Rattus norvegicus: one gene and its partners. The protein of the gene in region 4 interacts with the protein of the main gene of each other region in a biochemical or structural test. Links are inferred from orthologs where the notes say so. Each region holds a gene or a part of one and is shown on either strand. Other genes may lie near its edges.

Region 1 (4,995 bases), on a different chromosome or scaffold from region 4:
AACAGTAAATAGAAATTAATTAACCAATTGATTAATCTGTTATCATCCATGTAGTTCACTGTTATGTGAAAGAACAGCAAACTAGTTCAGATGTCACTAGACACAAATCTACTGAAACTGATTCAGCCAGAAGAGCAGCTTGGAAGGGTAGGGTGGGGCTGTCTGTTGATAAAAGGCAAAGTTAACAGAGGACTTTTCACTTACCTGTGTTACTTATACACAATTCTCCCAAGCACTCCACCATACCCAATTTATATTGGAAATCTTTAGTTTATGTGTACAAATTTATTATATGTATATAGGTGTTTCTCTTGTATGTATGTCTGTGCACCACTTGCCTGTCTGATGTCCTCGGAGGCCAAAAGGGGGTGTCAAATTCCGGGGTGGGGGAAGGGGGGATTACAAAAGGTTGTAAGCCACCACATTGGTGCTGGGAATTGAATTCAGGTCTTCTGGAAGAGCAATCAGTGCTCCTAACCTTAGCCATCTCCAGCCCTAATACACCTAATATTTGTTTGTTTGTTTTCAAGTTAGGGTCTCACTATCCTGGAACTCAAGATGTAGACCAGGCTGGCCTTGAACTCAGATCCACTGGCCTCTGCCTAAGTGCTGGGATTAAAGGCATGGATCAAACAACCTGCTTTAACATATTTTTATTACAGCTGGAGGGATGGCTCCGCAGTTAAAGAGTATTGTCTGCTCTTTCAGAGGAACTAGGTTTAATTCTTGGCACCCACATGGCAGCTCAAAACCACAGATAACTCCAGTCCCTAGAATCTGGCCCTTTTCTGGCTCTCATAGGTACCAGCCTTGCAGGTAATTCACAGACATACATGCAGACAAAACACCCACACATGCAAAATAAAATTAAAGTTTTAAATTAATTCTTGGAAATGTTCTTACCCCCAATTCTTGCCCTAAATTTTAACATTCTGTATGACTACTGTTAATTTCTCATCTGTAATCTTGCTGTATAACCAACTCCTGGTTTAGAGCTACGCAGTTCTATTAACTGGAAGCTCCTCACCCATTTAAACCACGTTCTAAATCTTCTCATTGATCAGAACAAAACCAACGTTTCAAGCCTGGCCTGGGGGACTGGCCACTTCTTTCTAACTTCGCCGATCTCCCCATTGCTTTTCTGGGTTCTGGGCTCCTCGCCTTTCTGTATGTAATACGAAGCTCACTCTTAGCTCATACCCTTACACACACCTTCTCTAAGTCTAGAATAGTCTTTCCCAGCTTCACATTCTTCCTCATTCACTATCCAAGCATGCAAGAAAGGCCTTTTCCCCTACATACACCTCTAAGTACGAGAACCAGCTCCCTCCCCTCACCCAGCCTTTCTTTGGAACAAGTTTTGAAATCGTCACTGATTTGCTCATCTGCCTAATATATCTTCCGAACTAGAAAATACACTTTATTTACCCACCATATCTCTAGCACCTAAAACAGGGTAGGATGTACCTAATGGAGTAGCTCATTAGTGCATATATCTTTACCAAATGATGTAACAGAAAGAAAAATTTATATACATATGAAGGCAGGAGACCAAGAGTTTAAAGTCATCCTCCATTACACAGAGTTCCAGGCCACTACACTACACCAGTCTGTTTCAAAACTAACAAGCGCGCACGCACACACACACACACACACACACTATTAGCTGTTTTAAGACTAAGTTTGTAGAACAGTGATTAATTTAATCAGCAAATATTTACTTAACACTCACAATGTTCAATTGTGGGGAAACAGAAAACGGAGTTAAGACCTGGTAGCTGGCTTTGAGATTTTTGTTGTTTGCTTTTTTTGAGACAAGACCTTGCAGCCCTGGCTTGAACTGTGGCTAACCTGCTTCAGCTTTCCATGGGCCACTACCATTGAGGTAGCATTTTTAGAATGAATGGAAAATGACAGGTGTGTCCAACTGGAACAGAATAGAGAAAGAGCGCCAGCCACAACAACAAAGGGGTTTTGTTTTTGTTTTAGAGACAGGGTCTCTCTGCATAGACCTAGGGGGTAGATACACCTGACTCTCTCTGCATCCTGAGTGCTGGGATTAAAGGTGGGGGGCTGGGTGGCCATCAGGGCGAGCCAACAACAAACGTTAAGAGAAGTTTCTATTGCCTTAGAGTGAGAGGATTAGAGGTCAAGGAAGACACAGCAGTACAAGACAAAACAATCGGTCAAGCCCTGTAGCCTGGCTGAACCAGGCTTCCACATGCTGGAATACAAATGCTGTGTAAAACTAAGTACGCAAAAGCACACTGGTACCAAAGCGCAGAAGCTCTTCCACTTATATTTAGTAGGTACCCAGAATCTACCCATGGAGATCTGGGTGGAGGAAAATCTGTCCTTTGTGACCCGCAAGGGTTTCCTTCGGAAAGAACACAGGGTTCATTCTGGGTCTATGGCACTTTACAGAGCCTGACAATTTCAGCTGTCGAGGAGCTGTGTACTGGATCAAGACTGCTCTCCCCTTACCTTAGATCGCTCGGTGGTGTCCACCCAGTACAAGGTTATATTTCGGGCGATCATGACCTCCTGGACTCTCTTGGGCAACACCTTTTCCATCAGCTGCTTGGGGGTGAGCGGCACGCGTTGAGCCTGGGCCTCGCACCCGGACACGAACTGAAGCAGCTCCCTCTGTGAGTGCGGACAGGGCGCCAGGAGGAAGACGGCGTTCCCAAAGCCCCCGAGCGCGGTCTCGGCCTCCTTGGCCTCGCTGTCGGCGTCCAGCAACCTCCTCCCGCTACTTCGCAGGATCGGCTTAGTGGGCGACGTGATCTCCGGCCGGTCCCACTGGTAATCGAGCAGCGTCTCCATCAGGGCACCGTGCGTGTGGGTGGCCCTGGGCGTGGGGCCGGGCAGGTGAGCTCCGGGAGGGCGATCCCCGAGCCTGGCCTCCAGCTCCTCCTCGAAGTCCTCCCAGGAGCGGCTCCCCAGTTCGCGGAAGTCGGACACGCGGGAGGGCCGGTTTCGCGCCCCCTGAGAGTCGAAGAACTTGAAGGTCCAGTGGACCCTGGCCAGGCCGAAGCGGCAGCTCAGGTAAGTTAGGAGACGGAGGGCGGCGCGCCGGGCGGAGCTATGGCGAGCAGCGTCGCCCGCAGTGTCCACCAGCAGCATCACTTTGTGACAGCAGGCCATCTCGGCCGCCACGGGACTCCCTCCGCCCGGCCCCGCGTTGCCCTTCCTGGGGTAAAGCACTCTCTTCAGAGAACCAGCGCCATTGCCCGCTCCTCTGAGGCCCTGCTCCGAAGGCTCCCGCGCTCTCCGACAACTGCTGCTATTGGAGGAGCTGGTTTCCAAGCTCCGCTCCTATTGGCTGCCGGCTGAACGTAAGTTACGTAAGCACTTCCATTTTTAAGCCTAACTGGAAGGCGTGTGGAAAGCCTCCGCTTGATTGGTGGAGGGTGTGGCGGTGGGCGGGGCGCTGAGTTCCGGGAGAAATTTAGTTCTCATTGGCTTGAGCCTTCGTTTTAAAATTTAAAGAGGCGGTACTTCGGGGGCGTGGCGGTGGGCACGGAAGCCCGCGTTTGGGCCACTGTGCACAGAGGTGTGTGAGTGTGTGAATGTATATGGAGGGGTGGGGAGAGTTGTGTGTCTGTGTGTGTGTGCGCGTGTGAGTGCGCGTTGGTCGGGGTGTGTGTGTGTGTGCGCGCGCGCGCGCGTGTGAGAGTATAAGTCGCCTGCCAGAGGCGGGGCATGTTTACTAGAACCCTGAAGCCTGGGATGTGCACAGGAAGGGGTTTGGGATGAGTCAAACTCGCTTTAGACTAACTACTCTTAAGCCTTTTAGGGAACAGAATCCTTTAACCGAGGGCTTAATTTTTTTTCTGTAAAAAGACGAAAAATACATTTCAAAAATCCCCAAACTCAGAAGGCGGAGGTGAGACTCGTGGATTCCAGGCCAGCGGGGGGCGGGGGCGTACTTAGCAAGGCTACTTAGCACTCGGATATTCTATTGTAAAGGACGGGAAGGCAGGGAGGAGTTGTAGGGAAGAAAGGGAAGTAACAGATCTCATGTTTCAGAAAGAGCACTGTGGGTCCCAGGTGGGAAAATGCAATATTAAAGATACCTAAAAGAGTTAAAACAGAAGCAGCGAGGTAAACCAGGAGTCTGCAGAGCACCTGGGAGGCTGTTTTACAAACTAAGGAGTGAACACACCAGAGAGTACCTAAGCCAGTTCAATGGGTACTGAAAAATCACACTAGAACGTCCGATTCCCAGCACCTGCCTTCTTACATCTCATCCATTAATAGACATTAGTATTTTTGTGACATATTGGGTTGTTTTTTACTTGATTTTGTTGCGTGCTTGTTTTTGTGACTTTCTCTTATATTCCAAATTGGCCTCAAACTGTACCTTGAACTTCTGATCACCTTGCTCCACCTTCCCAGTGTTGGGACTGTAGACATCCCCCCCCCAAACCTGGTTTATGGGGTATTGGGGATCAAACCCAAGGCTTCCTGAATGCTGGACAGCCAAGCGCTGAACCAACATCTCCAACACTCATATGTGCCCCCCACCCCCACTCCTCCACCCCACCACTTTCCTTTTAACTTTATTGTATGTAGGATCATGGGAGTGTTGCTAGGGATGGAACTCCCAGCCTGGCATGTTCTTGGCAAGCATGCTCCCTTTTAGTCCCATCTCTGGCCAGTGGCTTTTTTACTTTTTTTTTTTTTTTTTTTAAATTTTGTGTGTATGAGTGCTTTGCCCATATGTTCATACTGTGCTCAGAGATTGGAATAGGATCCCTGGAAATGGAGTCGCAGCTGGCTGTGAGTCAGCACTGAATGATGGGAATTGAACCCAGATCTTCAGCAAGTGGAACAAGTTCTTTAGGCCACTGAGCCATCCCTTCAGCCCCTCATATGTGTTTCTTATATTGATACCAGATTAGGGAGAGTTTGGATTATCTGAGTTTTAATTTAAGTGACTTTAAAAAGGCTTATGGCCTTAATAAAACTCCTGTAATAAAGCCACATATT
Region 2 (5,143 bases), about 5.8 Mb from region 4:
CCTTGGACCCATGGTAACCCTGTTGTACCAGCCTCCCAATTTATGCCCAGCTGAGGAAGCCCAAATCAAAGCTCTGGAGTTTTGAAATGTATGAGTTCATCCAGTCAGAACCCCTGCTGATAGAGCAACAGGTCTCACAACAGAGAGCCTGAGATGTCTGGTTTACACCATCTGAAGCCCTACTATGCCCCTGTTTTCCTAGACTTGGATGTGATAGCTAATGTATTTCCTTCTGGCTAAGCCGAGCCAACTGGATTTCTAACCTACCAAGGAGCCTAATTCAAGCCTATCCTAGAGATTCTAAGCTAGTGACTTGTTCCTGCCAAGAACCACAACCACAGCAAGGCAGGGCCTCATCTTACTCCTTGTCCAAAACAAATGCAGACCACGGAAGAAAGGCACATACCACCCACTAAGAGTGGAGAGCACTTAGACAATGGCTGTGTATTTCCAGGCAAGGCTGGTTGGTTACTGCTTTTATTTTGTTTATTTTTTAGACACAGGGTCTCACTTGACTGGACTGGAATTCACCCTGCAGTGAGCTGGCTCAGAGCTCACAGAGCTCCACCTGCCTCTGCCTCCTGAAATTAGAGGCATGTGCCAGCTTGCCTAGGCATAGTATGGCTTCTACTGTAACTCAGCGGTAGGCAACACTACTGTCCGTCGCACGCAACACAAATGTTCTAGCTCACCTTTTTGGAGAATTCCTTTTCCTTTTCACTGAGTGCTTGAGTCTTTTCTTGCTCAAGAAGAAAATGTGATCTTTTCTGTTCTTCTAGAACGGATTCTGTCTGATGCAGTGAGTCACGCAAAATTTTAATTTCTCCATTCTTAATTAGGATTTCTTCTTCCATTGCTTTCAGCTGCAAATTAGGCCCAATTAGCAGATATTCAGCAACAACAGTTTCCGAATACGTTCACCATTGACATAGATTTTTTCAGCTTTAACACCACAGATCACACCTTACATGGACTAAAATTCCATGTTATATTTCTGGGTTTCTTGGGCACCTACAGATGACCCACATGAGAGATGTATGAGAGCTTGCAACACTAACAAAATAGCAGCCATTATGATGGCATGTTCCTCAGATAAAGACAGGCTACAGGCTGTGGAGGCTGCAGAGATGGCTTAGCAGCTAAACGCACTCACTGCTCTTACAGAGGACCCAGGTTCCCTCCCAGTACCCATGTCAGGTGGTTCACACCAGTTGTGACGATGGTTCCAGAGGATCCAACACCCATGACATTCACAAGTACCTGCATACATGCAGTGCATATAAACTCGCACAGGCTCACGTATGTACACAGAGTAAATAACGTAGCAGGCATTCCTTCCCCACCTCCTGTCATTTCAGAGAGGTGACTCTAGGTGCTTGTTTTAGATATCTTTATGTATTTTACCCATGTTTTCTTAATACATAAACACATGAATCAGCTACAAATACAACAAATTAGGGCTGGAAGTATGACTTAACTGTAGCTATGTATGTGTATAGCATGTGTGAAGGTAAAGTCCTAGGTTCAATTCTCAGTATTAGAACCAAACAGGCAAAAAAGGAAACCCAAAAGTTACACACCTTTTCTTTAAGTTCTCTGTACTGTATCTGAAGTACTTCTAGTTCAAAGTTATCTTTAACTGGAATATCTTCTCTGTTTTTCCTTATAGGACTATTTGGTAACCCATCTAGTCGACGGACCTTATGAGCACCTGTATAAAAAAATAGTCCCCATTAGGTTGAGCATGGTGGCATGTAACTGTAACCCCAGCACTTAGATGGCTAAGGCACCAGGATCTCAAGTTCAAGGCTAGCTTAGTTATAGATGGAGAACCTGTCTGGAAGAAAATACCATGTATATATACCTGGGGGCTCACTATATACCCACCATTGTCATAAAATGCAAAAGGAGTCCAAGTTGAGATAGACCCAGTAAACAGTATTTATTAGTTCCGATCTCAGAGCATGATATAGAGAATCCTTCTGGCATAGCATATCTGAATATTCCCCCTTTCGATCCCCACCCACTTTCTGTAGTCTCAGCTCATGGCTGAAAGGAGTCTGCATTGGCTGTGCCTCTATTATGAATACTATTTACTGAACACACTAGGCACAGGATCTGCTGGTTTTTAAAGACCGATGGTGAACAAAATGGATACGTCCCCAGGGTGGGGACACTCCAGGGTTAGAGTATGGGATGATGAGTGACGTAGGGCCAAGAGGTGGGGATGGGGAGGTGCTGCCTTGTACCACTTCGTGGAAACTAGTGCCTAACCACTGTGGCATAATACAGCTGGTCAGCAATGAGTGTTTCCCAGGCAATATTGCTGGAGAGATGGAGGACCGACCACATTTCCAGGGATAATCCTATTTTTCGGATGCTTTAAATGCTAAGTACATTTGCAAGATCTCCATCAAACCCTTCTGACACTTAACTTACTCCCCAAGAGTGTAAGCTCTAAGAGAGAAAGCAGCTTTGGCATCGCTCGCCCATTGCTTATGGCTGTTGCCATTCCTCACCTTTGGGCAACCAGCATTGGTGGTGTATGAATCTCTCATCTCTTGCCTCTGACAGAAGCTTTCTGCCCAAGGGTTTCTAACAATGGGGTGCATAACATTTAAATCCTCTCACATGCGTTGTGACGGTCCTGAGGTGATCGTAGTCATGTTTCAAGGAAAATAATTAATAGTCTAGCTGTCTATATTTCAAATCTGCATATGTGAGGCCCTTTGACTTTTTTTTGTCTTACCACCAATTTAGAGGGTTGTTTGAAACAGAACCGCGTTTCGATCGGGTGCTATTTCGTTTTTAAAAGTGAGAGGGTAACGTCGGTGCAAGCAGCCAGTACCAAAGCTACCAAGCTGAAGAGGTCTGCACCACCCGCCGTGGGAACACCCCCGCCCCCCCCCCCCCCCGGCACTCACAGGACAGGTTCGGAGGCGCGACCGGACACTGGCTCAGGGCCTGTGACGCGAGGATGTCCAGTTCCTCTAGGTCGTCCGCAGTAAATTCCGCGTGCTCGCCGAATGGGTCTTCGGGGTCCGGAACTGTGGTCTCAGAGAAGCTCCGGGCCCGCTTGCTCGGAGGGTTCTCGATGGACCGAGACAGACCGAGGAAAGGCTCCAGGCCGCCACTCTGCTTCCTGTGGCTGTTCGGTGCGGGAGTCCCGGCCATGACTACCTTCAGCTCGCAGCATCTGAGGACGCCAAGCACAGGTTGATCGGCAGAAAGCCTGAGATGGCCCAACCGCCCGCGCGCCGCCGTTCCCCTCAGCTACTAGCGTCTCCCCAGCCTGCGGGCCAATCAGCTGCCAGCTACCGGGCACAGATGGGTGACGTATACAGAGCGCGCCGTTACCCGGGACAGGTTCCTGCCTTGCTGGGCTCAGTACCCTGAGGTCCCCGGCAGTACCAGGACACTGCAGTGCTGTTAGCATTACCCCGGTTGCGAGATGGAGGACCGTCTGCCCGACCTCACCTGTGGCTGTCCCCCGGCACTGTCTAGAATACAGAGAAGCAGTTCGCCTTGAATCAAGGCAGGCATCTTTCAGGGGTCAGCTGTCCTTGACCTCACTCCTCGCGGCTGGCCCACCATTCACGTGTCCAGAGACTCTTTCAGAGGGGAGGCTGGGAAGAGCAGACGTGGGGAGGAGAAGGAATGCCGTTCTTCTGGAAGCAGGGATCTTCCAGGATAACTAAAGTTTCAAGTATGTATGTTTGAGAAAAAGTCTGGGAAGGATGGTCTCGAGAACGTGTGCCTCCTATTAGGAACTGCTCCGACTTCCATTTATTTCTTGGAGAGTCTTTATGTCCGGAGCGCTGGTAGCGTAGAGACGAATGAAGCTCAAGAGGTTAACGAAGGTTCGCCGGGAGTGGTCCTCGAATTGCCCAACAGATTGAGGGAGAAATAGCAAGAAAAATGGGTTAGGAGGCTGACGCATGATGTTTCTGAGAAAAAAAATTCAACTTCGACAAGGATGACAGGTGGAAGTTACTGCAGCAGAGAGAGGAGGTAAAACTTCACCGAGGAGTTGGGCTTGGGTGTATGAGCAGAAGTGGTGGGCAGAACAGTTACCAGAAATGGGAGGATTCGTGGGGGATTAGCATTGGAGAGCAACAAGATCAAGATCTTTCTACTCTGCTCAGTGCCAGACTTAGCTTGTGAGCCAATCAATGTTTGCTGAGGCATCCGGTGAAAAAGGAGAGTGCTCAGGCCTAGAAAGTGTTAGGCCTGTGTGCCTATCTTCCTCCCTTCCTCCTTCCCTCGTCCCCCCTCCCCGCCTCCCCCCCCCCATTTTTTTTTATGCGTGAGTGTTTTCCCTGCATGTATGTGCACCACATGCATGCCTGATGCCTACAGAAGTCAGAGGCCTTGGATCACTTAGAACTGCCTTAGTATTTTGATTCAGCTGCTGGTAATTTCCCTTAGTTGTTCAACATAATGTTGAATGCTTAAGCCTCCCAGTGTCCCATCCTCCCACCCCCTTTTGACAGTGTCTTAACTTATAACCAAAGCTGGCCCTGGAATCCCAGAATGTCCTTCCTCCCCTCTGAGTGCTGGGATTATAGACACGAACCACCATGTCAAGCTGTTTTTGTTTATTGAGATGGCCTCAAATTTTCACTCCTCCTGTGTCTCTAAGTGGTGTGGGCTACCATGCCTGCCTGATTGCCCGGGTCTTAGTAGTTAAGATCTTTGTTTCTGGAAGAAAGAACATTGTCAGGAGGGATTAGATTCCACCAAATAAAAGAGAAATACCTTCTGTTTGGTGGCAGGAGCCTATGACTATTGATAAATTATTTTCAGCAGCACAGAGCTGGGTGTCAGCTGGCAAAACCCTATGGGCCTAAAGCCCAAAGAAGCTGCGTTTTGGAGATGACCGTGTTTTGCTTGCATGTATGTCTGAGGCCAGAAGAGGCCATCAGCTCCCCTTGAACTGGAAACAGTGAGCCACCATGTGGGTGTTAGGAATTGAACCCCTAGAAGAGCAGTCAGTGCTATTAACTACTGAACCATTTCTCTAGTCCTCAACCTAGTGTTTTAAAATTTTAATTCTCCTGCATCAGCTGCCTGAGTATTGGGTTTAAGGTATGCTAGCTGGGCGCAATGGTGCAGGCCTGTAATTCCAGCTCTTCAGGAACCT
Region 3 (5,060 bases), on a different chromosome or scaffold from region 4:
ATGTACCACTCATCAGCAATGTTCTATCTACTCACATTATTTTTGTTTTTTCCCAGCTGCTCAACTGTGAAAACAGAGCGCCCTCACGCATGCTAGCTAAGCAATCTCCCTCTGAGCCATGGCTATAGCTCTTGTTTTGTTTTTTGATTTAGGGTCTTCCATGTAGCCTAGGTTATTTTCAAATTCACTATGTGGCCTAGGTTACCCTCAAATTCTCGAGTCACCTCCTGAGTACAGGGATCAAGAGCAGTAAGCACTTTTAATCACTGAGCCATCTTTTTAGTCCCCACATTGTATTTTTATTTGAAGCTCTTCATTTTCTCTTGACAAAAGAAAATCACTCCTAGAAAATCCAGGTCACCAGCCTTGAACAGTCAACTCAGGTGGCCTCTTTGGCATCCTTTGTAGTACAGTTATTCATATCCCCTTTGAAACCTTCTAACTTCTTCTAATAAGACCCACATTCATACTTTAGCTCCCAATATCCCCTGACCTCGTTCTGGTCCATGGGTACCACTGAAGAATCGCAGCCGCCCTATAGGCTCCACACTATACCCCAAGGATCCACTGGATATTTCTGTCTCTTCCTCTTCTTCAGCATCCCAGTCAATCACCTGAGTGTTTTCCATATCTATAAAGGAAACACATTATCATTGCTCCTGTCAGAAAAAAAATAACTAGAGGTAAACCTGGGTAAATGTGGAAATGATCTCTCTCTCTCTCTCTCTCTCTCTCTCTCTCTCTCTCTCTCTCTGAGATTGGGCTTCTCTATGTAGCCCTGGTTGTCCTGGAACTCACTTTGTAGACCAGGCTGGCCTCAAACTCAGAGATCCCCTTGCCTCCGCCTCCCAAGTGCTGGGATTAAAGATGTACACAACCATGGGTGATGATTTTCCATCAGTCAGTCATGTAACAATATTGAGGGGTGGGAGAATATGTCAGTGAATAGAATGTTTGGCTAGCCTGTGTGAGACCACATGTTCAACACTTAGTACAACAGTGAGGAAAAAGTCTTTTTTAATAGACATATGTTGGCATCTATCTGTAGTCCCTGCATGTGAGATGATGAAGCAGGAAAATTAAGGACTGGGGACCTTACCAGACAGGATGATGTGCAGCTTTGATTATAGCAATGGAAAGGCAGAGGTAGGCAGGTCTCTATTTGGTCTACATAGCCAGTTCCAGGCCAGCCAGAATCACAGTGAGACCCCCTCCAAAACAGAACAAATAATATATATATATATATACATATCTATACTTTTGGCCAGGACACAAAGTATACTATTATACAGAAGGGGATATTTTATGTGACTTGATTGCTTGTTTTTAGATACTACAGACTGAATTCATAGAATGTATGTCCTGGATAGACACACCCCATTCAGCTATGAGGACCTTGAAAGCAGGCACTGCTGATAGCTGTTTTCTCATGACACACCAATACAAATGCTCTACCACAGAGCTATATCCCCAGCCCACAGATGGGTAAAAAAAAAAAGATACGCTGGATTGAGGTGGTGTATGCCCAAAGTATGGGAGCAGCTGAAGCAGTGTAATTGCTTGAGTCCAGGACTTCCGGGTTAGCATGGACAACACAGTAAGACCCCATTAAAAACAAAAATAAAAACAGCAAGGTGGTTCTCAGTGGTTAAGAGTACTGCTTGCTCTTCCAGAATACCTAGGTTCGGTTCTCAGGACCCACAGAGGGGCTCACAACAGTTCATAACTCAAATTCCAGGGTATCTGACACCCTCCTTGGAACCATGCACTCACCTGTGTGAGGTATGGGTTTTGAGAAACAGTGGTATGTGAAATATACTGTTTCTGGGGCTGGAAAGATGGCTCAGCAGTTAAGAGCACTGACTGCTCTTCCAGAGGTCCTGAGTTCAAATCCCAGCAACCACATGGCTCACAACCATCTGTAATAGGATCTGATGGGACAGTGTATTCACTTTAGAAGATAAATAAATAAAATAAATCTTTAGAAAATACTGTTTTCCTATCCTGTTTTTTTTTTTTTCTAACCTGACACACACAGAAGAAAACTAGTGAGGATCAAACTTAGAGTCTTACACATGTTCTAATTTGTAAAAGCCTTTTTACCACTCCCTAATTGATTTCACCATCCACTGTTGAGTACTGTCTTGTATCAGGCATAATAGCCAAATGAGACCAGGAGGTAATACCTCCAAAAATTCATTTGCTCAGAATAACACAGCATGTAAATAGAAATAAAGAGTCACAAAGCCCCTATTTTATGCACTCTCATCAGCAAACCTCAGCTTGAAGGGCAAAGAAGCAGAGAAGCTAACATATAATAAGGCGTTTATATGTTAAACACTATTTTAACACATTAGGTTGACTGACTCATTTATTCTTGGGAAGAAGTACCCTGTAAGGGTAGGGCTGTTTTTTTTTGTTTGTTTGTTTTTGTTGTTCTTTTTTTTTTTCAGATGAGAAACGACAACATAAGATGGGTTAAGGAACCTTTCTAAATCACCCCTAATGTTTTCTCGTATCTGCTAAGTTAACAGAATTAAACTAGATCCTTGGCAAGACCCTATGTCTTCGACATCTCTCTCCGGTGGAATTGCATCTAAATGCCCACCTCCCCTACTCTGGGATCCGTCTTATCTGCTCTACAGTAATTATGCACACCTGGTACGGTTCAGGTATTTGGGCATACATCCTCAAAATGAATCCTGCTCTCACGGCAGCTACACCGCCAGAGTTACTGAAATTAGAGACAGAAATTCAAAATTGCATGGGTGGGTTTTACCTATAAAGATGTCACACATGGAGAGACCGCTGACAGGGAAAGTAGTGTGTACCCCAAGAAGTAAACTCCGTCCTGTCAACCCAGTCGACGCCTACGACCCTTCGCTCCAATTGAAGGGCAACCATCTTTGATGCTCACGCTGGAGTTTGTTCCCTCGTGGCCTAATGTTTCCGTGTCATCAAATGGGCCAGGGCGCCAGTCAAGGATCAGCATAAAAAAAAATCTAAAACCGCAACCCAAATTACCTCCGCCCAGTGACACCTAAGGCACGCCCCTCCCGCCCTCAGGAGGAATCAAAGATGGTAACCGGGGCGCGGGCGGCCGAACTCACCGACTGAATCCGCGCGCGCGCCACCAGTAACGGCCGCTACCCGAGTGGCGGGAGTGCGAATCCCGGAAGAGAGTGGGTTGGCTGATTGGCTCCTGGAACTGTCTTTTACTACTGAAAGCGCGCCGATTGATTCAAAGCCCAAGTAGAAAGCCCCGCCCCCGCCTCGCCCCCTCACAGCTTAAAAGTGTGGCTACCGGCGGGAAACAGGCTGAAGGAAACGCCGACAATCAAGGGGTGTGGCCTGAGAACCCTGCGCCGCGATTGGGTAGCGCCCTGGACCAACGGAATGCTTCCCGCGCAGATTTCCAAACGCCTACCAGAGAGTCTGGCGCCAGTTGCTGGCGGCGGCTAGAAGGGCCCTATCATAGAAGTCATTCCAAGGCCAGAGCGCCCTTCTCGGTCATCCCAGAAATGGCGCCAGCTGACTCAGGAGAAATGAGGGGTTGCGGGCTGCAGTCGTGGCGGGAGTCTGCAGATTGGAAAACAGCCCGTAGGCGTGGCACTTTAGAACTCTCCATTGCAGAGGGATTTTATTTCCTTTTGATTGGGATTGCTTACTTCTCTTTTCTTCCACTTATATGTATGTATATATGAATGTATAAAATGACGGACATTTTGAGGGCATCTTCCTAAATGGAAGATCCTAAATAAAGCAAACTGTTTTGCTAGAACCGCAAAACTGTCGTCATCTTTCAAAAGAGGAGAAAGGCAAAATAAAATAATTTATTTCATTATAATAAAGCATGAACGTATTCCTGGAAGGTGGCTTGTATAGTTTAGAGTTCTCTCCCATTGGTTTTCTCAACATATCCACAATAAATCGCCAGACGTTTGAAGCTTTAAGTTGGATGGCTTACCCATGTTCCTACAGTAAATGAAACATTCAAGTAGCATAAAACACTCGCTTCCATTGTTAGCATAGCCAAAGTCGGAATACCGTATTTTTAATGATAAAAGGGTACTAATGCAACTTAAAAATGTTCTTTTATTTAAAAGATGACTTGAGCTATATGTTGATGCATGTCTTTGATTCATTTTCTTCTTTAAGCCAGAGAAGGGGGCTCACTATGTACCTCTGCCTAGAACTAACTTACAAGGTTAGCCTTGAACTCACAGGGATCCTCCTTCCTATCTGGGCCAACACACCTGGCTTACATGATTGTAGATACTGCTTACCAGACCCTTTCCTTTCCTTTGTTTTGTTTTTTTCTCTTTTTTAAAAGAGGCATTTATTTATGTGTATTAGTGGCTTGCTTGGATGTATTTTTGTGTACCACAAACCTGCAGAGTACAGAAGAGGATGTTGAGTCCCCTGGACCTGGAGTTATGGATGGTGGAGAGTTTCTATGTGGGCGATGGGAATTGAACCTGTTCTGAGAACAATAAATGCTCTTAATTGCTGAGCCATCTCTCTGGCCCCAAATATGTTTTGTGTCCAAGACAGGCTCTTGTTTTGTCGATCAGGTTAGCCTCCAAAGTGCAAGTATCTTTCTGCCTCCACCTCTCTATTGTTTGGGAGGTAGGGCAGGCACAATCTAATTTTTCCTTTCTATTTGTTCACTTAGAGATTAAACCTAAAGCTGTGCCTCAGGTTGTCCAGGTAGTCTCTAGGTAGCCCAAGCTGACCTTGAACTTCTCTTGCCTTCTAGTCAGGATTCTGGGATTAACCGTGTGAACCACTCCTGCTCTTATTCTAATGAATCATTTTGTATCTCCTTAAAGGTTTGAGGATACTTAGTATTTTTCAAAACCCTGGAAAGAAAAGCTTACGAGCTCTGACTTGGGCCCATTCAATTCCCATCTTCCCTCTCAGTTCCAGGACATTGCCACAGACTCACCTAATGAATAAAATCAACTAACTGGAAAACAAAACACAACAAAAAAACCAACAAAACAAAACAAAACAAAAAGAAACAAACAAAAGCCCTTGCAAGTGTCTGAGATGGAGGC
Region 4 (4,499 bases):
TTCAATCATCTGGAGCCTGATGACCTTGCTTGCTTAGAAAGTTACAGATCTAAAACTTTTTGGAAATAAAAAAGTTCATAAAAATGTGGCAGATATCATAATTTATATACTGTTTAATTACAAATGCTAATCAACTATTTCTCACCTATTGTGGAGTCATCATGTACATACTGAGCAAGCAGATCCTCATCAGTCTGCTGAAACTTCTCATTAGGAACAAAGTCCTTCTTAGAGAATGTGCCACTCTTTTCTAAGACAGTTGTCTGGTTTCTGGGCTGATCTGAAACTGGAATTCCATCTGGCTGGTAGTTAGCGTGGATATATGACTCTTCAGGAAGTATATATCCTTTACTAAAACACTCCAGCAACCACTTTGCTCCCACTACATGGGGCCTAGAAAAAGAACACTCGGTTAGGCAGCAGTCCTGGCATTCCCACAGCTGCAGACGTGCAACTCTAACCCAAAACATCCCAGTACAAGTGCTCCAAATTAAAGGCTGACAGGACCTGTGGGAGGATTTGCTCCAAAACTGCCTCACGTCATCCTCATAATCTCCCATGATTACATGAGTTACATCTTCATTGAGTTGATTAAACCGAACTCCACCTCCACTGTTAATAAGCCTTCTCAACTTATCGAGCTTTCTGCCACTAAAGCCACAAAGATATATCTGCAAAGGAAAGATTTCTTTGAATTAACATACTCAAGAAGAAAATTGTATCCACTGTGTGTAAATAAGATACTTTATATACATTTTGGGAGATACAAGGAATAAAACATATTCTAAATCTAATGTGAACACACAGGTACTGGCAGCTAGCTCCCCTCAACCCCCCAGTGCTGGACACCATCACTCACAGCTTTTACATAGGTGCTGGGGCTCAATGTTTTTTCACAGCAAGTGCCTGACCCACTCATCCATCCCCTCAGCCTATCATCCATCCCCTCAGCCTAAAACTGGTATTTGTAACTGGTATTTGTTTACAGTCCCACAGCACTGTGATCTCTCAGTAGGGTTAATGCTGAAAATGAATCATAAGACAGACTTCAACATCTTCAAATGATGGTGCACAACCTGTTCCAAGATTTTCAGTGTGTGTGTGTGTGATCAGGCTTGGTGGGTGGCAGAGCTATTTCTGACATGCAATAGCTCCTTAAGTTGTAAAGGAACTTCTTGTAAGTGAGTAATTACAAAGAAAAACTGTAGCTTGCTATAAACTTGAGCACCCAGGCTTGCCTGTTTGCATCAGCCATATGACCTGAGCAAATTCCTTAAGGCTCTGAGCCAACTCTTCCTGTATATTTATCCTTCCTGAAATTTCTTTTCTACTTGAATTAAACAAAACAGCAAATCTAAGAGCTGAGCACACTGCTTTGAAGAAACATGTATACAAGGATTCTAGATGTGAGGGTACATATTTAAGCCAATTTAACATAAATTTTTTCACCTCTTTTAAAAATTTCAAAGAGGACAATCTATTTCCACATGTCCTAAACTATCACCATTACTAGAATACATCCTAAAATTAGGAATCAAATACTGCCTACATAGAAAGAAAAATCCAAAGTTACTTCTAGAATTAGTATGTCCCAAGATCAAAGAAAAAAAGATTACACAAAGTGTCTTTCTGTCCCACTAGTATGTTGATAAATCTTAGGAGGGATAACAGATAACTGGCTGTAACGGTTTATATATGTTTGGCCTAGGGAGTGGCACTATTAGAAGGTGTGGCCTTGTTGGAGGAAGTGTGTAACTGTGGGGTGGGCTTGGAGACCCTCATCCTCACTGCCTGGAAGGCAGTATTCTGCTAGCAGCCTTCAGATGAAGATGTAGAACTCTCAGCTCCTCCTGCACCATGCCTGCCTGGATGTTGCCATGCTCCAGCCTTGATGATAATGGACTGAACCTCTGAACCTGTAAGCCAGCCCCAATTAAATGTTGTCCTTTATAAAACTTCCATTGGTCATGGTGTCTGTTCACAGCAGTAAGAGCCTAACTAAGACACTGGCCTGAACAATAAAACACACTAAGCACCTACTCTGAGGAAGAGGGTAGCTAGCTCATCGCTGCACAGACAGCACTGTGTGAGGTCTGTGGATCTAAAATACAAGACGCTTCCACCACAGAGCTCATGGACACACACTGAAAATAATCTTACAAAGCAAACCCTTTTTCTTTTTATTTCTGAGCACTGAACGCAAGGCCTTGTACACAATTAAGGAAGTAGACTTGAATACCACAGTATTATCTGTCTAGAACTCTGAGATAGCATTTTATTGTATTTTAAATTTACATTTATGCCTTGTGTGTATACATGTGTGGGCATGGCACAAGTGCATGCCACAGGACAGGATGAGGCTCACTCCTTCCACCACATGGGGTTCTAAGGACTAAGCACAGGTTGTCAGGCTTAGCAACAAGCACTTTAGCCACATTGCCCTAAAAAAGGATTTTAATCTTCTAAGTATTACCTTCAAGATAATAAACCACTTTATTTGTGGGAATTAAATTATACTTTAAATAAAATAATGTAACATGAAATGATTATTGGCATTAATGTATTGTAAACAACAAATGATAGGTATGACTGAATACTTTTAAGGTAAGTGGTAAGATTTCAGAACAGAGTTGAAGTTAGGTTAACTCAGAAATAGAGCTGCAGCCCAGGCACACTCGCAAGCACAGTAGAGCACGGCAAGTGGCAGCTTAAGTTAGTGCAGAGTTTGTTAACGCACATAAGGAGCAAGTGCAACTATGAGGGGTCTCTGGAGTCAGGCTGAGAGTGTGTGGGTACCTGGACCTCACTGTGTAGCCCGAGCTAGCCCTAAACTCGGGTCTGAAGATTATTCATCCTTCTGAATTTGTTACCTAATAAAGACATACCCGACAGCCATCTAATAGATCTTCAGGTGCTTGAAACATACTGATGTCCAGATTTTCTAGGTTCTCAAGTGTGCATTCGAGTTTGCTCGTAGTTGAACCAAACATTGTTTCATTTACACAGCTGCCGTTGATGTTGGATATATGGCTGACATCTGCCAGCCTGTGATCTACAAATGTAAAAGACGGTGATAAATTCCTGAGGTAAAGGAGTCATTGCACGCTTCCTTATAAACTAACTTTTCCTGTAAAGTGGTTAAGGGGTAAACCTACAAAGATTCAGAGATTTTTACTGAAATCTTAGTGACAAAGTACAAAAAATTAAATTCGTTCTTTTTTTTTTTTGGTTCTTTTTTTCGGAGCTGGGGACTGAACCCAGGGCCTTGCGCTTCCTAGGTAAGCGCTCTACCACTGAGCTAAATCCCCAGCCCCAAATTCGTTCTTAAAGTGAAATTATATTTAATATTTCTTTAAAGTGGCTTATATCCCATAAAAGCATACAGTTCCTGGCTCTAAGGTCCAAGAAGGAGGATTTGCTAAATGGCAAATCTCTTCCAACATAGAAGAGATCAGCACTGACTAAATAGGCTAGCCTAGCTGACACATCAGAATGACCATCACAAAGGGACTGGAGGCCTTTCTATCTGCTACTGTTTTGTATGTAGCTGTCTTGGAACTCTTATGGAGTTCAAAGAATAAGACTGTGTAGTTGTTTCTCTCTTCCACCTTTCCATGGATTCTGGGGCTTCAGTCTGTTGGATTTATATATCAAAGCATTTTAGCTGCTATACAATGAGATTTTTGGTTTGGTTAATTCATTCTTGAAGCAGAGTCTCTTTATGGTATACCAGTGGTTCTTGATCTTTAAATGGAGCCCTTTGGGGGTCAAACGACCCTTTCACAGGGGTCACCTAAGACCATAAGAAAACAGATACTTACGTTACAATTCTTAACAGTAGCAAAATTAGTTATAGAGTAGCAACAAAATAATTTTACAATTGGGATCACCATACTATGAAGAACTGTATTAAAGAGTCCTAGCATTAGGCAGGTTGAGAACCACTGTTCTACCCAACACCAGGATCACCTCGAACTCAGAGCTCCACCCACCTCTGCCCCCAGTGCTAGGGCTGAAGTTATGGACCACTCACTGTACCTGGCCTTTTGTTTTGTTTTCTGAGGCAGGATCTCACTGAATCCAAGTTGGCTTTGAACTCTTTGTAGCCAAAGAAGACTTTGAACTTCTGACTCCTTCATCTCCAACTCCCAAGTTATAGTATTAGAGGTGTGTGTCACCACACTCAGCTTTATAATGCAGTAAGTAGTAGGACTCAAAATCAGGACTTCATACAGGCAGGATTTGTATGCAATGATAATTTATAATCATCACAGTAAACTAATAAAGAAAATATAGGATGGGTGTGGTGGCACACGCCTTCAATCACAGTGCTCAGGAAACTGGATCTCTCAATCTAAGGCCTACCCGATGATCTACTGCTAAGGACCGTTCTCCGCATGGAGAGGGATTCTGAGAAGGGGTGTCTGGGAGCAGTGAAAAGAACAACTCAAAGTCAAACCAGGGGTCCAAGCTGAGACGGCTTTCCAGACTGCTCCTGC
Region 5 (5,098 bases), on a different chromosome or scaffold from region 4:
CATATTCAACTTCGTTCTTTTCTTTTCAAGATGTACTTATTGTATGTGCTCTATCTGTACACCTGCATGCCAGAAGAGGGCATCAGATCACCATGTGGTTGCTGGGAACTGAACTCAGGTCCCCTGGAAGAGCAGCTGAGCCATCTCTTTAGGCCCTCCTTTTTTTCTTTTTCTTTCTTTCTTTCTTTTTTTTTCTTTTTTTTTTTTTTTTTCCGAGACAGGGTCTTGCTATGTGGCCCAGGCTGGCATCTCAAATTCTCAAAGTCCTTAGTGGTAGGATTATAGGCATGAGCCACCATACCTGGCTTAACACCTATTTATTGATCCTAAGCTGTGTGTGACGCACACAAGACAGAGCAACAGACAAAACTGATGCAGTTCCAGCCCACGTGTAGTAGCCACAACAGCAGGGAGCACAAGTATTAAACACAGGAAAACTGATAGGCACCATGGAGTGTTCTGTGCCGAGGGAATCTTTGCTGTTGAGCCTAGGAAGAGAAGCCAGCATGGGAAAAGCAGGCCACAGCCTTGGAAGCAGCCAGAGTGACAGCCAAGGGCCTGACAGGACTTTGGAGATAGGTGATCAGAGGTAGGATACAGTGAAGACATGTGGGACCTGGATCCTGAAAGTTCCAGATTAAGAGACCAGACTTTGGAGAGTTAAGCTGGTGGAGGCAGATCGCTGAGGACAGTGGAGACAAGGAGGGCCACTTTGCCGTCTGTTTGGTAACAAAGTAATCAGAATCCACTGAAGAACTGATCAGATGAGGAGGAGAGGATGCTAACAGCTAACTCCAGTCTAACAGTGAACTGGACGCCTCTATGTTGCTCACACTGGTTGCCTTGGATGTGGAATGGGAAAGCAGTCTCCTCCCCGGAGGCTTTAAGAAAGGAGAAGCTAGAGAGGGAGAGGAGCCTAAAAAAGAGGAGTTAGATAACTAATACAGACTTCCCGTTAACCCACAGGACACAGCAGGGAAATGCAAGTGTTGCTCTAGGCTGTTCTTTTCACACTTGAAGTAACTAAAACCCAGAGAAAGTTGAATGCATCCCAGCTGATAGCCCTCATCCTTGACACTGTCTGGGTAATTGGTAACGTGTACACAAACTACGTGTAGTGCTTAAGCCTTTCCACGACTTCCCAGTTCATCCCTTCAGCCCTGACGGGCTCAAGGCTCGGGACACTCCACCCAGCCATATGGTCCTACCCCATTGTGCCTCTGCTTCTGACAGACCCATCCTTCTACCCTTTTCTGTCCCAGAACCTTCTGATCTTTCCGTGTATTTATGAAGGTCAGTGAAGGATCCTGAAATCAGAATGAACAGCCTCTTTTCATGGTTCTTGAAGCAAGTTACGTTAATTTTTTTTTTTTTTTTTTTTTTTGAGGGGAGCTGGTGGTTGCTGCCACAACAGAATCATCCCTGGCCCTGATTGAGCGCGAACTTTCCTTGACCCTGTAACCCCACACACTAAAGTTAGTGACTCCAGAGGGTCTACTCTTCCCATGTTCGGACTCTGGTCCAGAACTCGATCCTTGGTGCAGGCACCTTGCTCCTCGGAACTGCATCTAATGTGGGAGCCCGGTGGAGCAGCAGAACTCTGCAGGGTGGGAAAGCCAGACCCGATGAAGGACGCAGGAGCGCTCCCTCCGTAGTCACGTGACCCAGGCCACACCCAAGGAAACGACTGAATCACGTGGCGCCGAGCTTAGGAACGTTTTTCTCACGTGACGGAGGAACCCCGGGTGGACCAATAAGGAAGCGGAGGCCAGGCTGGCGGCGGGGAGGGGACGGTGCGCGGGAAGAGAACTTTAGGCATTCCTAGTAGCTGCTGGGACTCGTTGTGGGTTGTATCCCGTCCCGGTCTGGTTGTAAAACAAGCTCGGCCTCAGTGTTTATGTACCATGAAGTGCCTGATCACTGGGGGCAACGTGAAGGGTAAGTTTAGACCTGCTTTGCAGCAGACCATGTGAGCAAGCCCCTGGAGTCCCCCTAACCACTTTCTGCTCTCCTTCCGTAGTGCTGGGAAAGGCTGTCCATTCGCTATCCCGAATCGGGGACGAGCTCTATCTGGAACCCTTGAAGGACGGGGTAAGAGACTGGGACGCAGGGATGGGGGCCGATTCAATGGCGAGTGGGGAGCCTAGGCTTGGCGTTCACTCGGCCTTACAGGGTGATGGTGGACAGGTATTTCGGCTCAGTTTATTTCCTCTTGAGTTGTTGGGACATCAGCTTGGGCCCTGTCTTCTGAGGCTGCATGTGTATACAGAGGGCACTTAACTCTTCCTAGAGCGCCTTGTGGCAGGCAAGGTGGGGCTAAAGTAACTTAAGGGAAAAACAAGCATGGCAGACCCTGAGCCGCGGAAGACTGGGAGATCTACATGCAAGAAGGTCTTGCCACACAGAAAGGGAAGGGGAGTTTCATTAGGAAGCGATGGAAGAGAACTGCCGCTGGATGAAATGCAGGGCATTTAGTGAGCCTGACGTGGCCCCTGACTATTATCTTCCCTGCTTTTTGTGCCTCAGCTCTCCCTACGGACTGTGAACTCTTCCCGTTCTGCCTATGCCTGCTTCCTCTTTGCCCCCCTCTTCTTCCAGCAATACCAGGAAGCTTCCCCTGGTCAGGATCTGCTGCGCTGTAAGATCCTGATGAAGGTAAGGACCACCTGAAGCATCCACAGCTGTGCCTGTGTCAGGTACTCAGTAAATGATGACTAGGGAGTTAGTCTCATATGGGAGCTAGTCCATGCAAAATGCAGTGAGGTCGAGATGTTTAGACTCTAGAGGGTTATAAGAGCACTGGAGAGGGTGGTGACATTCAGGTTGGTCAAGAAAAGTTTAGCAGCCCTTCCCAGCAAAGAGAACAGCATGGACAAGCCTGGTAATGTGCAGACATCCTGCATGCAGTGGGAGCCCCCTTTCACAGCTTTGTTGGGCCAGTGATGGACCAGGGCCTACATGGGATGTAGAGCTGGTCCATGGAAGCAGAGTGCCAGGCCGATGTCCTACCCTGCCCAGTCCTTCCTGTCCGTCTTCCGCTCTCTGGCAACGGTGGAGAAGACTGTGGAGAAGTGCTGCATCTCCCTCAGTGGCAGCAACAGCCACCTGGTGGTCCAGCTTCACTGCAAATATGGTGAGCAGGCAGCTGGCCAGCTAAGAGTGGGGGAGTGGAGTGAAGGCTGTCAAGCCCACTGAGACCATTTCCCCTATCCAGGGGTCAAGAAGACACACAACCTCTCCTTCCAGGACTGTGAATCCCTGCAGGCTGTCTTCGACCCAGCCTCATGCCCCCACTTACTCCGCACCCCAGCACGGTGAGCATGCCTGCTTCGGACTTCACCTGAGTCTCTCCCACCTTTGGGGCCTTAAGTGTTATTCTAGGATATCTCACTCTCAGAATGAGATGAGGATGGCGAGTGGGGAACCTAGGCTTGGCGTTCACTCGGCCTTACAGGGTGATGGTGGACAGGTATTTCGGCTCAGTTTATTTCCTCTTGAGTTGTTGGGACATCAGCTTGGGCCCTGTCTTCTGAGGCTGCATGTGTATACAGAGGGCACTTAACTCTTCCTAGAGCGCCTTGTGGCAGCAAGGTGGGGCTTCCCACCTCTGGATGGAGGTGGGAAGGTCAGAAGTTTCAAGGCCAGTGAGTTTCTAGGCTAGCCTAGGTATTATGAGACAGTCTCAAAAAAGGGTGCATATGCTGGGGAGATAACTCAGTAAATGTGTGATGTACAAGCATGGGTGCCTGTTCCGAGTCCTCGCTTAGATAAGAATGTGTAATGTCAGTTGGCCGGCGGTGCACGCCTTTAATCCCAGCACTTAGCAAGGCAGTGGTTTTCTGTGAGGACAGCCTGGTCTACAAAGCAAGTTGCAGGCAGGCAGGCAGGCAAGCAGGGCTACAGAGAGAAACCCTGTCTTTAAAAAAAGGAACCAAACCAAACACCAAGATGGGCAGCACCTGAGAAGCAGCAGCACTGAGCATGTCTTCTGCCCTCTGCCCATGCACGTTCACACAACACAAAAGCACCTTTGCCTCTAAGGCGGAAACTCGGGGTTTCTGTGTCAAGGCCACACATCGCTTACCTTGCTCTTCAAGAACAGAAGCTGCTGTCTCTCGCCATTCCCACTGACTGTGGGTCCTGCCTTGTGTATCCCAGAGGCCTGCTCTGCTTGTCTAGAGAGAACCTATGACCTGCCTGCAGATCTCTTTTTTTTTTTTTAAACATTTATTATGTATACATCACACAGCTTTCTGCCTGCATGTATGCCTGCAGGCCAGAAGAGGGCACCAGACCTGATTGTAGATGGTTGTGAGCCACCATGTGGTTGCTGGGAATTGATCTCAGGACCTCCGGAAGAGCAGACAGTGCTCTTAACCTCTGAGCCATCTCTCCAGCCCCCTGCAGATCTCTTGTATGACCTGAATAACCCTGACAGCCTGTCCTTGACCCTGTGTCACAGTTTCAAAGCCCTCTGACCTCTCACTCTTCTGGTAGTGTCCCTCTTTTTTTTTTTTTTTTAAGATTTATTTATTTAATGTATGAGTATACTGTCCCTATCTTCAGACACATTAGAAGAGGGCATCAGATCCCATTACAGATGGTTGTGAGCCACCTTGTGGTTGCTGGGAATTGAACTCACAACTTCTGGAAGAGCAGTTGGGTGTTCTTAACCACTGAGCTATCTCTCCAGCCGGGTAGTGTTATATTCCTCTTATAGTGGCTTCTTCCTAACTGCCAGGGCTCTAGACTCTGGGCCAAAGGAAGGACCTGGGCAAAGAAGCTGGAGTCTAGGAGGGCTGCTGCACAGCCCGACAGCCCACGTCAAGACAAGGCATGGCAAGGAGAGTGTTCCAGCTGACATTAAGGTGGTCACTGAAGCCCAGAATGCAGTGGGTTCTCCCAGCATCCCCTGCCTGTGCTGGACACTGCATGCAAGTAGCCCAAGGTCCCACTCATTTCTCAGACTGAAGTCCCTTCAGGTCCCAGTGTCATCTTCCCCAGGGTCTGTTAATAGTGATAAGAGTTCCTTTTTGGAGGGGCTATTTCCCCCCTAAATACTGGCAACAGAACCCAGGACCTTGTGTTTGCTGGGTAC

The links. The genes of interacting proteins can lie anywhere in the genome.
Region 1: the proteins of Topbp1 (region 4) and Ticrr form a complex in vitro, tested with the Homo sapiens proteins (2 studies listed by BioGRID). The link is inferred for Rattus norvegicus from reciprocal best matches to the Homo sapiens genes TOPBP1 and TICRR.
Region 2: the proteins of Topbp1 (region 4) and Atrip form a complex in vitro, tested with the Homo sapiens proteins (2 studies listed by BioGRID). The link is inferred for Rattus norvegicus from reciprocal best matches to the Homo sapiens genes TOPBP1 and ATRIP.
Region 3: the proteins of Topbp1 (region 4) and Mdc1 are reported together in a solved structure, tested with the Homo sapiens proteins (3 studies listed by BioGRID, with this or other methods). The link is inferred for Rattus norvegicus from reciprocal best matches to the Homo sapiens genes TOPBP1 and MDC1.
Region 5: the proteins of Topbp1 (region 4) and Rad9a form a complex in vitro, tested with the Homo sapiens proteins (4 studies listed by BioGRID). The link is inferred for Rattus norvegicus from reciprocal best matches to the Homo sapiens genes TOPBP1 and RAD9A.

The regions. Positions count from the first base shown.
Region 1 is NC_086019.1:143,005,275-143,010,269, reverse strand, and holds the start of Ticrr (treslin), read right to left. Parts: upstream 3,282-4,995; 5' UTR 3,148-3,281; coding exon 2,485-3,147; intron 1-2,484.
Region 2 is NC_086026.1:118,597,664-118,602,806, forward strand, and holds the start of Atrip (ATR-interacting protein), read right to left. Parts: upstream 3,282-5,143; 5' UTR 3,175-3,281; coding exon 2,925-3,174; intron 1,712-2,924; coding exon 1,581-1,711; intron 864-1,580; coding exon 693-863; intron 1-692. UniProt on the Homo sapiens protein: Required for checkpoint signaling after DNA damage. Required for ATR expression, possibly by stabilizing the protein.
Region 3 is NC_086038.1:2,911,680-2,916,739, forward strand, and holds the start of Mdc1 (mediator of DNA damage checkpoint protein 1), read right to left. Parts: upstream 3,282-5,060; 5' UTR 3,111-3,281; exon of another isoform or gene 2,799-3,110; coding exon of another isoform or gene 2,780-2,798; intron 632-2,779; coding exon of another isoform or gene 630-631; coding exon 494-629; intron 1-493. UniProt on the Homo sapiens protein: Histone reader protein required for checkpoint-mediated cell cycle arrest in response to DNA damage within both the S phase and G2/M phases of the cell cycle.
Region 4 is NC_086026.1:112,776,214-112,780,712, reverse strand, and holds part of Topbp1 (DNA topoisomerase 2-binding protein 1), read right to left. Parts: intron 3,053-4,499; coding exon 2,886-3,052; intron 672-2,885; coding exon 508-671; intron 394-507; coding exon 146-393; intron 1-145. UniProt on the Homo sapiens protein: Scaffold protein that acts as a key protein-protein adapter in DNA replication and DNA repair. Composed of multiple BRCT domains, which specifically recognize and bind phosphorylated proteins, bringing proteins together into functional combinations.
Region 5 is NC_086019.1:210,921,881-210,926,978, reverse strand, and holds the start of Rad9a (RAD9 checkpoint clamp component A), read left to right. Parts: upstream 1-1,817; 5' UTR 1,818-1,904; coding exon 1,905-1,938; intron 1,939-2,020; coding exon 2,021-2,091; intron 2,092-2,526; coding exon 2,527-2,655; intron 2,656-2,926; coding exon of another isoform or gene 2,927-3,018; coding exon 3,019-3,133; intron 3,134-3,214; coding exon 3,215-3,314; intron 3,315-5,098. UniProt on the Homo sapiens protein: Component of the 9-1-1 cell-cycle checkpoint response complex that plays a major role in DNA repair. The 9-1-1 complex is recruited to DNA lesion upon damage by the RAD17-replication factor C (RFC) clamp loader complex.